3 linked regions of the Tribolium castaneum genome follow. The protein of the gene in region 3 binds, or shares a complex with, the protein of the main gene of each other region. Links are inferred from orthologs where the notes say so. Each region holds a gene or a part of one and is shown on either strand. Other genes may lie near its edges. The genes, in order: Cdc45, dpa and DNA replication complex GINS protein PSF1.

Region 1 (2,708 bases), on a different chromosome or scaffold from region 3:
TAGAAACTAGTATGAAATGGTGATTTGTAGGATGCGAAATTGTGTATTATTTGTTCCATTCCACTTCACTAAATCATAAAAAAGTGTCATCAAATGGTAGTGACATATTTTTAATTTTCTTCACATTTTTTATGTAATTAAAATCTGCGACGATCGTATATTTGTTTAATTGAAAATAACTTTAACATAGCTTATTTTGATAATTTCACATTTTTTACTTTAATAACCGTTCACAAAATTTCTAGTTTATTTACACCTTCTATGTAAAATAATTTTTCCATGACCAACTACTTTTAAATATTTTAAATTTATTTTTTATCAAAAGTATGTAAAAGTATCAAACTGTATTTATATTGTTTTAAGTTCAGAAAAACATAAGCTTTTCGAAAATGTCAGCCAACTATGATTTCTATTTAAAAACATACAATTTTAAGTTATTACAGCTAAACGAAAGGTTTACAAAAATCGCTGATAACATTATTAGATTCTCTGTGCCTGTATAATGTTTTTGCTTTAAATGTGTATCTTTTATAATAAGGAAGATATGATTTTTAAAGATTTCACTAAAATGTCAACTTTTGTTTATAAATTGAAAACAAAAGACGATAGCGGGATTCGGTTTTTACCAAAATTATTTTCTCAAAAAACGGACCCGAGAATGTGTCAATATTTTTTCTCTAAACTTCTTAGTTTCGGAGATACCACATCCGAAATGCCGCACCTTGTACATAATATTTAAAATTATTTTTACTTAAAAAAATCAAGGATGTGCCAAAAAGGTAAGACATACTTAATAAGTCAAACGGCTTATAAATTATGTTTAATTTTATTTATAAAGCTCATGCTTATACTTTTCAATGATTCTCCCTTAAAAAAGATCCAAGGTGGGTGGCGGCAACAAGGTGGGCTCATTCTCAACTTGCAGGTTGCCCTTATCGCAGAGCCAGCAGGCGTTCGAATCAATGGATCTCCAACTACGTAAAGAATTCCACCAAAGTATTGAAAAATTATCGGAAAAATACAACTTAGAAGATTTAGTTTTTACCTCATTTGTGTTACAATATGGCTACCGGAATAAATATTGTGCGTCTGACATTGTGTACGCCATGTTTGCAATTTTGGAGTCATCGGTGATTTATCATTTTGATAATTCTCTCACATAAATAGCTGTTTTTAGCCGAAGGAAACGCCAGAAGAGTGTTTTAATTCGGCACTTGATTGCCTCACTCGTAATAAAAAAGACGTAGTACAAAAAGCAATAGAACGTGCAAAGATAATCACAAAGACGATTTTTAAGACTGTACAAGCGGCCATTGATATGAAACAAATTATCACAGCCGGGAATTTTGTTTATTACATCATACAAGAAGTGAGTTGAATTGTTAGTCAAGTTGTTTGATTTTAATTTTTGTTTTATAGGGTTGTTTAGACTGGTATATGTTTTCAAACCAATATATTTTGTTATTGTTGGCACAATTTATATTACGGGCTTATGTGTCAATGTCACGGAATCGTAAAGCCCCTGACTTGCCTTTAATTATTTCAGCACCAAAAAATCTAGATTTAGGGACGTGTGTTATTTTGGGGATTCCACCGCTGAGGCAAAATTCACCCAAAAAGTAACTAAACTAAACGTACAGCCGCCCAAAAAGAAAATGACGCGACCATAAACCAATCCCATCATAAATCCTTTAATTTGCTGTTTAATATGTTTTTTAAAGTAAAAGGTTTTGTTGCAAAATAATTGATTTATCGCGGAAAGAAAAAAATTAAGAAAGGATTGAGTTCGAAAATCTTAAAGCAAAGTTTTAAAGCTTCAAGTTTTCTTAAAGTTATAATTTTTCATTTCCAAAAAATTTGTGGCAATTCAATTTAAAAAAGAGATTATTTTTTGTGGGTTCGCTTTTTTGAATTCAACAACTTATAAAAATTAAACAGATACAAAATGCAGTGACAATTTAACTACTTAAATAATTTATGAATTGGAAATGGTATTGTAAATAAAATGAAATAATAATTGGGCATTTAGAACCGGTTAACTTTACAGAAAGCGAAATTAAAACTTAATTCGGAATAAAACTAATTCGACATTAAGTTGCCACTGAAAATAGATTGACAAATGTAAAGTTAATCTCAGAAAAATTTTTATTGCAATTAAAATGTTCTGTAAACCGACTCTTGAACTTATTTTGCATTAATGAACTAATAATTTAAATTTGCAAACAAATCGACAATTTTTCTGCCCTCTTAAAGGGTCAAAACGTCGTGACAAACTTGATTTTTTTTAATCTTTCATTTGTTTTAAAAAAAATTATAAATGGTTATCAGTTTGAAGAAGAATTGGAAAAATTTGGTCTTAAGTTATCTCTTGTGGTGACTGTGGTCTTGTGTAGGTGTTGTTAAATATTTCCAGTGAACCTTATTTGCAGTAATGGTCAAAATTTTAATCATGGTATTTCCATAAATGAAATACTTTAATGTTCATTGATAACTTTTTTATTCTGGTTACACTAATTGAAACATTTAATAAACAAAAATTTTAATAAAACCTTTTTTGTGGTTAATAATTAAAACGATTAAAAGTACAGACATCTTTACGTGAAATTTGAAATACAATTGTATTACTATAATTTTGTTTTCTATTTTGTTTTATGAACAATTTATGGACAGTTTTATGGATATTTTTCAACTTTTAATACAGTTAGAGC
Region 2 (3,767 bases), on a different chromosome or scaffold from region 3:
GTTAAACCAACAGCTGAGGAGCCTTTCCCTGAAGTGTACTGACTTCGGGGAACCAAATTATAAACGTATTGTAAAAGTTGTGACTTGGAGGTTCCCGGATCTCCACACAGCAAAATATTGATTTCGGACCGAAAATTCGTACGACCTGACGTAACAAATTTTTTCTTCGTTCCGCCAAACAGTTGTAAGAGAATCCCTTTTTTGACGTCGGCGTTTTCGTAAATCGACGGCGCTAAAGCGTGAGCTAGCCGTTCGTAAATATCCTCTTTTTCTGAAAGGAGTTGTAATAATTCGATCCGTTCGGGTGGAAAACGATGGTCTTTGCTGGAAGAATAAGAGGGGAAGTGAGTTATTTTTTCACTGTGGTGTTTTTACCCGTCCTCCTCTTCGTATAAGCGTTTCGTGTCGATTTTACGGAAGTGGAGGACGTCAATGTGTGTTTTGTAAACCGCGCGAAGGTTGCGTTGTCGGGGGTTCACTTGAAGGGGTTGCGCTCGGTAAATCCCCGTTACGGTGACCCTGTCGCCCGGTTGGACGGCGTCCACCAGGTCGTTGTGGGCGAAGAGGACGACGGTGTGCGGGGTTTGGCCCGCAGGCATGTCGTCTGACCAAAAACATTATAATAATAAAAAAAAATAAAAAATTGTGCTTATGATTTAACTAGAAAACGTTTTTTTTATGTAACTGTAACGTTTAGTTAAGTGGGTAAGTGTTAAGTGTGGATTAAATAGAAGATAGATAATAAAAAATCTTCAATTCTTCCCGAGGTTGGCGACAAAAATAAATTTTTTCTTATAGTTCAAACAATTTTTTTCAGTGTAAAATATAAAAAAGTTGAAATAAATTAGAAAAGAAGAAATATCATGGATGAAGATAAACTGGGATCATCTTGTAGAATGGTTAAGAATAAAAAATAAAAATAAATCCGAGGAGAAAACATAAATTAAAAAAATACCCGGGGATTCCTGCAATTTGATCATCTGTTTGTCGGTGAACTGCGACCGATTGTGGACCAAAGTAAAGCAGTGATTGGTGTTACAACTGGTGCAAAGAGTGGGTTCGGTAATGCGCCCCCTGTCAATTTCCACAGTCGTTGTAAAGTTACAAACTATACATTTGAAAAATGCCTCTCTCATCTCAGGCATTAAATTCGATGTACGGATGACCATGCCAGTGATTGTGATCAACTGATCAATATCTGTGCAAAAAAATAAAATTTTATATTAAAAGATTTTTTTTTGGAAGGAATTTAACCTTCAGGGTTCAGGGCCCTCATATTTCGTGTTTTTTCCGCATTGAAGGGCCGGACTTGAATCTGGTGCTCCAATTCAGCAGCAGGATAACGCTCGTAAAACATTTCGTTGATCATCATGTCAAAAATTGGAATGACTTCTTGAGGATACGAAACCAATTGGCGGTATAAATTGGCGTCAAAAGTCTCAATGTGAGAACAGTTGACGTTCAAAAACGGCTCTTCGAGGGTGTTTATCTACGAAAAATAATTGCTACACGATCAAGTTTGTGATCAATGATTTTGAAATTAAGTTGGCAACAGATAAAAAAGACAAATACGATTGTTTTTTTTAAATTTGTCTGACGCTTAAATCTGATAGCATTGCCAACGTAATAACAAAGTCAACGCCTCTTTGATCATGATAAGGTTCGCACCTCGTCCAATTTTTGAAAATACAAGGGTTCGTTAACATTCATATCATCAGTTCTTTCATCTTCTTCCGCATTTGGATCAATAAACCGCAAAACAAACTGTTTGAACTTCTCTTTACATTCAGCAACTGAGACATTAGTGCCCCAAATGACCAAATGCGGGGCTGTACTGCCCTCATCACCCTCAGCAACCGGATCCAACTAAAAAAATCGAGTCAAAACGAGCTCAATTTTTGAAACAGTTGTTGAACCTCTCCTCCGACATTAACTTGTCTCATCCTCCGATCAGTCCTCACATCGGGCCGCATCCTAATTGGGGTCCCCCTAATCCCCGATCTGGGGGTCCTGATGGACCCCAAAGAGCAAGGAGTCCCGTAATTAAGTGGCGAAGATAAATCAATCTCGCTCATTGCCACCGGTGGGCTTGTGACCCCAGCCGGAGACGAGGGGATTTCCCCGCCGTCGGCGTCCAAATCACGTCGGGCTCCGCCCCAACGCATTGGGGTATCAATGGTGTCGCTTTTGGCAGGAGTTGGGTTCCGTCTGGGGGTCCGAGATGGGGTTTGGGGAGGGTCCTCACGAGCTGGGGTGCGGTGACCTCGAGGGGTTTGACCCCCGGCAGGTCTGCGTCCCCGAGGAGTGGGCGCATCATCGTCGCGGTTTGCGCGAGGGGTACGATGGGGGGCTGGGGAAGACATCTAATTTGGGTTTTTAGGTGGAGTTATCGCTGATTTAATCACTTACCGTAAATAAAACAACAAAAAATGTGTTGATAATGTTTTTTTACACAATTAACCAACTGTTGTTGCTGTAAAAAAGGCGGGAAAACGCTAAGTAGTTCGTGGAAGAGGTTGCAGATGACGCGCGCTTTGTTAATAGTGGCTAAAGTTTCAACGTGGTTTTAATGATTGTTTACCCCATTGTTTGTAAAATTAAAACTTTGTAACAATGTTGATTTGTAGATAAAAATTCTGTTAAAACCGAATTTTATAAAGTTTACGTTATTACATTATTTTCAAGGCTGCTTGGAGTTGCCTTAGCTACAAAGCCGCATGCGCACAGAATTTTGTTTTAAAAATCAAGTGGCTTTATTGTTTGTTGTGAAAATTTGTTGGTGTTTGTTGCTTAAGACTTTTTTTGGTGAAAAATCGTGCAGAATTGGTGTTGGGTGTGTTCCAGATCGAGAAAAAGGTAGGTTTCACATTTTGTTATTAATTTAAGGTCAAAATTTTGATGTTCTTGTGCTTGAGCTCCCCGTATTTCTCAAATTCGGACATTGTGAAAATCTTATGCATCTTATGCACTACAGCATTTAAACCTTTCTATTAAAGATATAACAATAAAGATAGCAATATAAGGCCCCAAAATTGAATTTTTTATCATGAATTTAACCCTACATAGAAAAAATGAATGGTATGCAACCAACATTACGAACGTGTAATTCTACAGTGAACGGACTACTTACTAAGTTAATAAAATTTTATTCAGAGAAAATGATTTTTACCATTAAATAGTAAAATATCAAAATGTTATGTAATAAATTTCATCAGGCACATACCATTATTTTGCTAAAATTTGTGGAAGGTAAAAAAAATTGGTATGGGTGAAATAAAACATTGTTTTTTCAATACATTTATATTTAAATTTTCACAGATGAAATTTGATTGGATAACGAATAACCATTACACCCTTCAAATAATTACAAAAAATGTAGGTATGTAGTCGTGAACACTCGATTTAATTAAAGGTAGGTAATATTTACAAGGCAAAATAGTTATTTATATACAGTTATATACAACATGTACAAATTCTGATATAATCTCTTATACGATATATAAAAAGTCGTATTTAAGTAACAGACTTGGCATTTATTTTTGAAAAAAATGATACATCGACGTATCCTTCAGATAATTTATAATTATCACATTTATTTTCATTACCTAGGTTTATGTACAAAATATACAAAAATAACACTCGTATAAATGAAGCGAATACAAAAACTTTCAGTAGGCAAAACGCATTTGACAAAAACGGCCTATACAACAATGATTTCCTTGAAGCTAGTAACATTTTCATAAGTTTATCTTTTTTACAACCACTCG
Region 3 (2,422 bases):
TTAAGTATTCATTGTTATTATTAGATATTATAATATTACTCTTATACTTGGTTGCTAAAAAGTATGGATACAGTTAAATATTAAATAATAATTAATTGAAATCTTGTATTTGCTTAAAAGTACTGTTTAAATTCTATCGTTTTAGATGTCTATAAAATTTTCATTTACATTAATTTTGTTTCTGGGGATACAAGGCTAACTTTTTTTACACAGCAAGAAGGGTCAAATTTATTTTTTTAGTTCTTGATGTAACACATGCTTATCTCATTAAAAAAATATCTAACTAATAAAATTTTCTCTGCTTTGGAAATGTTGTCTTTATCTAACGTTAGCTCGTTTCCGCCTGAACTTTGACCAAAAAATAAGTTAAAGTTAATAATGGTTATTAAATAACACTTTTGTCTGTAAAAGAACACATTTTAATAAAAAAATTAGCTGTAGCCATACTTATTAGCCACTTTGTAAGAGCATTGACTGTCCATCTAGATTGCTTCTTCGTTAATTTATTATACGAATATTTTGCCATCAATTGTTTAATTATCTTCAAAAAATGTTTTTTGTAGTTACGACTTTTTTGCTTCGAAACTTCAAGAAAATTTGTATTTCAATTGTCGTATATTGAAAAACAGCACTCTAAAAAGATATGCATAAAATAACGTGCCAATATCATTTTTGCAAATAAATCGTTTATTAAAGTTCAAAATTTCATACTTCAATTATATGAAATAAAGATACCATAGAAAATTTAAGAAACATGAAATAACTCAAAAAATACGTAAAAGTAGTGACGAAATTTTTGCGTAGTAGGGCAGCATAACTTACCGTAGATGTGACATCACACAAGGATACGCGTGATTCGTGTAAACCCGCCTTTAGTTGTGGCCTGTCATTATAAATGCACCTTTACTGTCATTTGGCGGGCTTTTAGGTTAGAAAACTATTTAGACAAAATTTTAAATCGAAATGTTTTGTGAGAAAGCCCACGTTTTGATCAAAGAATTATCTCGAAACCGGGACGCTTTACCGCCTTACAACGTAAAAATTACCAAATTGTTCCTCACTCAATATTTTACAATTTTTTTTCAGACTGATCTTCTCAATGAAATCAACACTGAAGTCAAGCAACTCATTACTCAAAACCAAGAAGATGCGTAAGTTTACACACTTGATCCTCGAAACCAATACTTCAGCGTTTTTTTTTTCAGTCAAATTTCTGAAGATAGTCGGGTTATGAATCACGCCTCTTATTTACCTACAGTCAAAATACGGCATGCGGCTATCAAACGGAACATTCGATGCATTCTGGCTTATCACTACAATCGGTTAAAATGTCTCAGAAACATGCGCTGGCAATTCGGCAGTATTTTACCGCCAGATGTTAAATCGAATTTAAGTCAATCGGAAATTGAATGGTTTTCGAAATATTCCAGCAATTTAGTACAATATATGCGATCAATTGGTGATGAAGGGATTAATTTAGCTGTGGATTTAAAACCGCCAAAGTCTTTGTATATTGAGGTCAGGTGTCTAACGGATTATGGACAGTTTGAATTGAACGATGGTTCGGTGTTGTTATTGAAGGAAAACAGTCGTCATTACTTACCGAGAAGCGAATGCGAGGAATTAATACGACAAGGGGTCCTTGAACACGTTGTTTGAATTTGGCGCCTTTTTTTTAAACATCAAATGTCCTTGAAAATATTTAAATTACCTTATTTTTGTACGTGGTGATTCAATACTAAATAATTAGTTGTAACATAATCTTAAATTAATCTTATTTCGTAAAATAAAAGCGTCCAGTGTCGCCAACTCTGATTAAATTCCATGTTTTAGTGTTTGTAAGTAAATTGATACCTGAGTTATACACGGTGATTCTGTTAGGGCCTACATTAGTAACTTTTAACTTGTAATATAGCTAGAGCTTTAAAATTTTGTACACGATCTAAATCGACTATTCTGAATTCAACTTATTTTTTTTCAAAATGGCTGAGCTTTCGGAACTACAAAAAATTGGCGCCAAGTTTGAAGTTAAATCACTACTTCGCAGTTTTCATAGTTAATCAAGTAGAACTTGCAAAATGGTCAACAATTGTCAAACTTATTTAATTTTTAGCTGGTTCATTATCAAATAAGCAGTAAAACAATAATATTTAATTATGTTTCATTATAATTTTGTGAATTATGTAAAGTAAGGCAGTTTTACGGTTGACAATACAGAAGATTTTAGAAGATCTTTCAAACCTTTGGCTATCAAATGCAAAAAGAATTATTCACTTATTATAAAGGGTTCACGAGCTGTGATATTTCAAATGAACCCCTGCAAATCAAAATTTATATAAAAAAAATTGACATATGATAATTTCTCGTAGTTCCGGAAAATCAGCCAGTTTAAAAATACTAATTTAGTTGAACTCAGAATGGT

What was found.
Region 1: the proteins of DNA replication complex GINS protein PSF1 (region 3) and Cdc45 are in contact, whole or in part, in a cryo-EM structure (PDB 6XTY), measured with the Homo sapiens proteins. The link is inferred for Tribolium castaneum from reciprocal best matches to the Homo sapiens genes GINS1 and CDC45. Residues at the interface, in NP_066545.3 of Homo sapiens: Leu146, Tyr147, Glu149, Arg151, Glu158, Thr165, Ser166, Val167, Leu168, Lys170, Lys171, Asn172, Ser173, Gln174, His175, Phe176, Leu177, Pro178, Leu195; in NP_003495.1 of Homo sapiens: Arg18, Gln37, Phe40, Gln41, His44, Val45, Gln46, Tyr47, Thr48, Leu49, Val50, Pro51, Glu64, His65, Gln68, Phe69, Thr394, Asp395, Ile398, Leu401, Asp402.
Region 2: DNA replication complex GINS protein PSF1 (region 3) and dpa share a complex: the UniProt entries of both Homo sapiens proteins name them as parts of the CMG helicase complex. The link is inferred for Tribolium castaneum from reciprocal best matches to the Homo sapiens genes GINS1 and MCM4.

What each region holds. Positions count from the first base shown.
Region 1 is NC_087401.1:7,775,191-7,777,898, reverse strand, and holds part of Cdc45 (cell division control protein 45 homolog), read left to right. Parts: intron 1-925; coding exon 926-1,130; intron 1,131-1,177; coding exon 1,178-1,369; intron 1,370-1,419; coding exon 1,420-1,619; intron 1,620-2,708. UniProt on the Homo sapiens protein: Required for initiation of chromosomal DNA replication. Core component of CDC45-MCM-GINS (CMG) helicase, the molecular machine that unwinds template DNA during replication, and around which the replisome is built.
Region 2 is NC_087396.1:22,084,200-22,087,966, forward strand, and holds the start of dpa (DNA replication licensing factor MCM4), read right to left. Parts: upstream 2,568-3,767; 5' UTR 2,410-2,567; intron 2,364-2,409; coding exon 1,917-2,363; intron 1,867-1,916; coding exon 1,669-1,866; intron 1,490-1,668; coding exon 1,255-1,489; intron 1,199-1,254; coding exon 956-1,198; intron 605-955; coding exon 376-604; intron 325-375; coding exon 1-324. UniProt on the Homo sapiens protein: Acts as a component of the MCM2-7 complex (MCM complex) which is the replicative helicase essential for 'once per cell cycle' DNA replication initiation and elongation in eukaryotic cells.
Region 3 is NC_087400.1:16,460,382-16,462,803, reverse strand, and holds DNA replication complex GINS protein PSF1, read left to right. Parts: upstream 1-870; 5' UTR 871-963; coding exon 964-1,035; intron 1,036-1,086; coding exon 1,087-1,151; intron 1,152-1,205; coding exon 1,206-1,659; 3' UTR 1,660-1,809; downstream 1,810-2,422. UniProt on the Homo sapiens protein: Required for correct functioning of the GINS complex, a complex that plays an essential role in the initiation of DNA replication, and progression of DNA replication forks.